Linked DNA regions of Canis lupus familiaris. The protein of the gene in region 2 binds, or shares a complex with, the protein of the main gene of each other region. Links are inferred from orthologs where the notes say so. Each region holds a gene or a part of one and is shown on either strand. Other genes may lie near its edges. The genes, in order: NME7 and TUBGCP5.

What was found.
Region 1: TUBGCP5 (region 2) and NME7 share a complex: the UniProt entries of both Homo sapiens proteins name them as parts of the gamma-tubulin ring complex. The link is inferred for Canis lupus familiaris from reciprocal best matches to the Homo sapiens genes TUBGCP5 and NME7.

The regions. Positions count from the first base shown.
Region 1 is NC_049228.1:29,200,040-29,203,866, reverse strand, and holds part of NME7 (nucleoside diphosphate kinase 7), read right to left. Parts: intron 1,832-3,827; coding exon 1,624-1,831; intron 1-1,623. UniProt on the Homo sapiens protein: Possesses an intrinsic kinase activity. Displays 3'-5' exonuclease activity with a preference for single-stranded DNA. Does not seem to have nucleoside diphosphate kinase activity.
Region 2 is NC_049224.1:31,915,750-31,919,576, forward strand, and holds part of TUBGCP5 (gamma-tubulin complex component 5), read left to right. Parts: intron 1-1,915; coding exon 1,916-2,118; intron 2,119-3,827. UniProt on the Homo sapiens protein: Component of the gamma-tubulin ring complex (gTuRC) which mediates microtubule nucleation.

The DNA.
Region 1 (3,827 bases), on a different chromosome or scaffold from region 2:
TTAAGTCTGCAATGTCCAAAATGTAACTCCTGAGCTTCCATCTACACTGACTCTAGCCATAGTTTTCCTTATTTCAGGTTAGGCAAATTATAGCCTTTTAGTTGTTCAGGCCAAGAACTTTGTGGAGTAATCCTTGCTCTCTCTTTTTCTCATATTCTACATTCAATCTGGAAGGAGATCTTGCTCATTTGACCTTCAACCATTAAAAGCATTTTAAAATGTATCTCTATACTCCTCTCACTGCTTCCATCCTGGTGCAGGCTATCATCTCCCTGGATTATCCTAAGAGCCTCTTAACTGGGTTCCCTGTTGCTACTCTAATCCTCTACAGTCTATTCTCATTGCAGTAGCTAGGGTGGCCCTTTTATATACCAAGTGAAATATATCAGTCCTCCACTTAAAACCCTGCAATACCTCCCAGTTTTCCTCAGAGAAAAAGCCAAAAATACTACCATGGCCTACAAAACCATGTGCTATCTCCCCTATTTCTGTGACCTCATCAGCCCCTCTTTCCCTCACTCCCACTCAATTATTCTGCCTCCTTTCCTGTTAACTGAATGACCAGGCAAAAATACACTCTTCAAGGAATAGTAAGATGGTCAGTGAACCTGGGATACAGTGAATAAGGGAGACACTACTTGGAGATAAATTTGGAGAAACAGATGGGAATCAGATCAGGTGAAGCTCTGGAAGCTTGTGATTCTATTATAAAAGAAATAAAAATTCACTGAGGAGTCTTTAATAATTGAATTTTTAATCTTATTTGTTTTTAAAAGATCACTCTTGGCCTAGTTAATTTTATGTGGGCAAGGTAAAATTTTTATAAATTGAGTATAAGAGGAAAAGGAAGAGGAAAAGAGAATTAGAAGAATTACTACTATTTTGCAGTAGTACAAATAAAATATAACAGTGACCTAGACCACAACAATCAGATTCAAAGTCTAATTTGAAGGAATTGCTGAAAGGATCTTTTGATGGAACTGTAAGGAAAATTCAATTATTAAAAAACTGTCTAATATTATTTTAACGAAAGCATGACCAGACTAAAAGCCATCTTACATCAGATGAGAAACTTGTTGTGATGCTAAGAATAAACTTGCAACTTCATCAAATCAACATCAGCATAAACCCAGTATTACACCTTATTTATATGGACTTAAAAATAAGAAATAATTGTAGGAAGCATAAAGACTTTTTCATGAACACTAGCTCTGTACAGGAAAAGGATGTTAAACTTGAAGATAGTGTTAGATCTGAGTCAAAAATAAAATATATTAAATGATGTTTCCTTTCTGAATATTTACTATCCATAAGCTGGTCTCACATTAAGTCAGTAATTCAAACATTGATGAGCCTGAATAATTTAAATGACTTTGGAATGTAAACTGAGATGACAAGTATTTTAACTGGAGAACACTTATCTTGACCATGACCAGGTTACCAGTTCACAAAAGAAACATATTATTGAAACACTTTAATCCTAGGCAAAGGGTCAAAGGTTTTCTCTACTCCTTGATCATCTGTATAACCTACCCGAAGTCAGCCATGACAGATATGCTTTACTCTGACATAAAACATCTAACAAAAACAAAAACAGAATTAAAATATTTTAAAACACCTTACTCTGGCAGCAGAAGCAAAAGAATCAGGGCCATGAGCTGCATTTCTTATGCCGTCTGTTCCAAAGAGGGCTCTCAGGCTTCCAGGAGCATCTGTACGTGCCATACCAGAGTTCGCGGGTCCAAGTAGCCTTTTCCACTCACATATAGCATCATCTCTTAAAATCTCCATGGCAATAGTAGGACCACTTGTAATAAACTGGATAAGCTCACTACAAAATAGATAAAAGCTTGATTTGCTTCATTTTTCTGTCAACCTCGTATCTCTGTTAATAAGGATATATTACAATTAGAGTATTTCAACACACACATTAATATTATGATCTCAGAACTACCAGATATAGTGAGATATGCATTGGCAAAATAAAATTTTCATAAGTTGAGTGTCTTGTGGTAGTCTGAGTCACTACAGATCACTAGCATTGCCAAATCATTTACCATTACCAAAAAAAAAAAAGAAAGAAAGAAAGAAAGAAAGAAAGAAAGAAAGAAAGAAAGAAAGAAAGAAAGAAAGAAAGAAATCAGTGTTTCATTGAATTTAAGGCTACTTCAGTGACTTAAAATGCATATTACTGATTAATGCTTTTCCCATTGCTCTGAAAGGTACAGAAGGAAATTCCTTTTTATTTTCATGTGGTTTACCACTGAAGTTACATAAAATTGCATAATAGAGAAAATGATGAGAGTGGTCTTATATTTACAGTTAGAATTTATTTTTGTGTAGATTAGAATTCAAAGAATGTCAGAAATGTTCAGTCAATAAACACTGAGTTGGTCTTAGTGATAAAGAAAAAACAGACATTAATAGGTCTTGGGAAAATATCCTTTTATTTTTGATATTTATATTTGATATTTATGAAAAAATATCCTATAAAAGCTACTCTGGGATATTCTTATCTCAAGTTATTAAAGAATACATACAGGTTCTTGATTAAAAATCCAGCATTGGGGATCTCTGGGTGGCTCAGCGGTTTAGCGCCTGCCTTCGGCTCAGGGACTGATCCTGGAGCCCCAGGATTAAGTCCCGCATCAGGCTCCCTGCATGGAGCCTGCTTCTCCCTCTGCCTGCGTCTCTGCCTCTGTCTCTGTATCTCTCATAAATAAATAAATGAAAATTTTTTTAAAAATCCAGCACTGAGTCACAGTAACCCAAGCCATGAAAAGCAACAGTTCATTTCCCTCTGCCACTTCTGTACATGCACAAGGCAACGGTGACAAATTTAACCGTGAAATAAGTAACACCATTCCTCCCACAGTGTTAGGCAGGGACAGAATACTTTTTAAAGTAAGCCTATGCTTCTCTCTCATCCAAGCTATAAGAGAGGACAGGATTCTCCTGGAGAAAATCACACAGTATGACCCTTTTATACCTATTAATTCTTGATTATTTTATATCAATCATTGACTCCCTTCCATACTTTTAAATAATTTCAATTCATTTTGAAGAGGATTTCTAAAAAACAGGATGTACAAAGAAGTATTCATAACCTCCATTCTAAAAGGCCCACATGACCTCTTCATACATATTCTGCTAGGCCTTAGCAGAAAAAAAAAAAAGGAAAAAAATAGATTTAAGGAATCAAAATCAAGAGAACAAATCCATGTTTATCCATTCAATAAGCACTTAACAATTACCTACTACAAATCAGAATATTCAGCGATATCCTTGCCTCAAGAAACTTATAACCTAATGTCCTGTTAATACAGATTTCTCAAACACATAGTAGACTAAGCCTATGACCTGAGTGTGGCATGTAATAATGCAGAGAATGTAGTGCCTCATCATAAAAAATACTGCTTTATGAGACTACCTCCAACAACTGTAGCTACATCTTTTGTTGTGTCTTTCATTAATACCAGAAAACTAGTTAATTCATTCATTTAATAAAATTTACTGCATGCGGGCAGCCTGGGTGCCTCAATGGTTTAGCGCCGCCTATGGCCCAGGGCGTGATCCTAGAGACCAGGGCATGATCCTGGAGACCAGGGATTGAGTCCCACATCAGGTTCCCTGCATGGAGCCTGCTTCTCCCTCTGCCTGTGTCTCTGCCTCTCTCTCTCTCTCTCTGTCTCTCATGAATAAATAAATAAAATCTTAAAAATATTTACTGCATGCTAATTACATATAAGACATTAAATTAGGTACTGTTATATAAACATAAAGCAAGACTACAATAAAGAATAATTTCCAAGAAAATTATATATTCT
Region 2 (3,827 bases):
ATCCCCAGAAATAATTTAAATACATGCAAGCAATACATATTCATATATACATACCTACTAGTCTGTTAACTTCTCCCTTCAAATTATTATTTTTTCTTTTTTTTAGATTTTTTTTTTAATTTATTTATTCATGAGAGACACAGAGAGAGAGGCAGAGACCTAGGCAGAGGGAGAAGCAGGCTCCATGCAGGGAGCCCGATGTAGAACTCGATCAGGGACTCCAGGATCATGCCCTGGGCATGAAGGCAGACGCTCAACCACTGAGCCACCCAGGCGTCCCTCTCTTCAAATTGTTTCCTAATTTGGGTTTTGAGGATTATACCATACAAAAATGTGAAGAGCTTCCTCATTCTTTTTTACAAATTGAGTATTTAGTTGTGTGAATATACATTTAGGTTGTTTCTGATCTGCTATTGTCAATAGTGCTATAGTGATAACTGCTTACTTAATATGAAGCAAGCTATAGTATAAATTTTTTTTTTAAGATTTTATTTATTCATGAGAGACAGAGAGGCAGAGACATAGGCAGAGGGAGAAGCAGACTTCCCACAGGGACCCTAATGCAGAACTCAATCCCAGTACCACGGGATCATACCTGAGCCAAAGGCAAATAAATGCTCAACTACTGAGCCAAAGGCAAATAAATGCTCAACTACTGAGGCATCCCTGTAGCATAAATTCTTAATGGAATTCCTAGGTTAAAGAGAATGTGATGGCATATGTGATTTTGATACGTATTCCACATGGTTGCCTGCAATGTATGATTACCCTTGCCAACAGTGTGTTGTTAAACGAGCAATATATATGAGTATCTGTGTCCTCACAGTCTTGTTAACAGTGTGTTATCAACAGTGTGTTATCAAACAGATTTAAAATGGTAACCAGCATTTTTAGCTTCCCCCCCCACCCTCTACTTTTATTTTCAACTACTGCAAAAATATAGTACCCAGACATCCCAGGTTCCCATCACCCAACTTCCTCCAATAATTCCCACCTTACCATAATAATGGTATATAATAATTATAATAATTATAATATGATATGATAATTATATATATGATATGTATATGATAATTATATATATTATATATATATGATAATTATAATAATTATCAAAACTAGGAAATTGACATTGGAACAATACATTTATTGTTCTGCAGACCTGGCATGAGTTTCAGCAGTTTTGCAGGCACTTGCTATTTTGTGGGGAAGGGAGTGGTATCTTCGTGTATAGTTCTGTGACACTTTATCACATGTGACAAATATCACATATATTTGTAAATCCACTTCCATCTTCAGGATACAGAGCTCTTCCATCTCCATGAAAAAACTTATTCTTGCTCCCCTTCGTAGGAACCATCTCCTCATTAATATAATAGCCCACTGAAGTCTTTTTTATTTGCCCAGTGTAGTTTTAATTTGTATTCTTTTGTTATAATTGAGGTTGAATATCTCTATATATTTAGGAATCACTTTTATTTCCTTTCCTTTCCCTTGAACTGTGAGTTCCTTTATATATTATTTATCTTCTGAGTTTTCTTTCTTTAGAGAAATTAGCTCCTTATGATGGGAGATTAAAATCCACCACGCCCGGGCAGCCCCAGTGGCTCAGCGGTTTAGTGCCGCCTTCGGCCCAGGGTGTGATCCTGGGGTCCCAGGATTGAGTCCCACGTCGGGCTCCCTGCATGGAACCTGCTTCTCCCTCTGCCTGTGCCTCTGCCTCTCTGTGTGTCTCTCATGAATAGATTAAAAAAGAAAATCTTAAAAAAAATAAAGTGCTTTCTTTAAAAAAAAAAAAAAAATCCACCATGCCCTAGTTTGCCATGTCTTTCCATAAGTGACTTAGCATTTATATCCTTTTCTGAATGCAGATATTCTTCCTTGCTAAAGGGTTTGAGTTTTTGATATTTTGCAGACACTACAATAACTCTTGCAATAGTGGTGGACAAGTTGTCACCTCGACTGGCTCAACTCAAAGTTCTTCACAAAGTATTTAGTACTGGAGTAGCAGAAGTTCCACCTGACACTCGAAATGTTGTTCGGGCATCTCATCTGCTCAACACCCTGTACAAGGCCATTCTTGAATATGACAATGTTGGAGAAGCCTCTGAGCAAACTGTATGTAAGACCTTTATCCTAAGTTGTGTGACTCCCTTCTGTTCAGCCAAAGTAGTGGTAGATAGCCTGTCATAGCTCTTTGTAAAAATACTGCTTAAATCATGGTGTGTCATACAGTTGTTCAGAGTTTTGTTTTGTTTTGTTTTGTTTTAAAGATTTATTCATGAGAGACACAGAGAGAGAGATAGGCAGAGACACAGGCAGAAGGAGAAGCAGGCTCTATGCAGGGAGCCTGATGTGGGACTCAATCCCGGGACTCCAAGATCACGCCCTGGGCCAAAGGCAGGTGCTAAACCACTGAGCCACCCAGACCCAGACGTCCCTGTTCAGAGTTTTTAAATAAGCTTCTAAAATCAGCGCTACAGGAAACTGGCTTCTTGGCTTTAATCACAGAGATTATGGGGAGGATGCGGCAAGGAGAAAGCAAAACGTAAAAAGCAAGATGTGAAAAACATCTAGCTGACTTATATAGATATTTGCAATTACTCTTCAATAAAAATACAGATTATATAAGGTATCTAGAGTAGTCAAATTCATAGAAACAAAACAGAATGGTGGTTGCCACAAACTGGGAAGGGAGAAGCGGGAAGATGTTTAATGGGTGCAGAGTTTCAGTTCCGCAGCATACCCAAGAAAAACATTCACAACAATATGAATATATTTAACACTACTGAACTGTACACTTAAAAATGCTTAAGACAGGGGCACCTGAGTAGCAGTTGATTATCTGCCTTCAGCTCAGGTCATGAGCCCTGGGTTGGGCTCCCTACTCAGGGGAGTCTGCTTCTCCTTTTCCCTCTGCCTCCCACCTTGTCCTTGCTCTGTCTCTCTAGTGCTCTCTCTCTCTCAAATAAATAAAGCCTTTCAAAAATGCCTAAGATAGTATTTTTTGTGTTACATGTTTTAATTTAAAATTTTTTTAATTTAAAATTTTAATACATACCATTTTAAAATTTTTTTAAATTTTAAAAAATACAACTTAAAAAAATACAAATCTAACGGAAACTATAGTTTAGAAAGCTGCAGATTTCTTTGGATACACATTTTAGGTGTTGTTTCCTAGTACATTGATGTAACTTTGTTTTCTCACCATTTTGGTCCTGCAGTTCAGTATAAAAGTTTTATTTCTTTCAGCTATGCAATTTTTTTCCTACTGGGAAGTATAGTAGAATGAAATCATTTCTTCATTCTTTTTTTTTTTTTTTTAAGATTTTTATTTATTTATTCATGAGAGACACAGAGACAGAGGCAGAAACATAGGTAGAGGGAGAAACAGGCTCCCTGCAGGGAGCCTGAAGTGGGACTCAATTCCGGAACTCCAGAATCATGCCCTGAGCCGAACGCGGAGCCACCCAGGCATCCCTCATTTCTTCATTCTTAATGGACATTTTGCTAATATGTTTTAGATAGGGTAGCTGTTCCTCAGTTTGTACTATCCAACTTAAGACTGCTCTTGTAACCCTCTTGTAACTTTAATTCCCAAGAGAGTCCTGGTATGGACTACAGATGATATGGTCATCTTATCTTTAGGTGAGTTTTCATAAGGATTTTTATAAAGTATGTTTTAGATTTTTAATTTCTTAATTTCTGTCAAAAAGCAGAAATCCCATCACTTTTTAAAAGGTATTTCAGAGGGGTGCCTGGGTGGTTTAGTTGGTTAAGCATGTGACTTGATTTCAGCTCAGATCATGATCTCAAGATCATGAGAT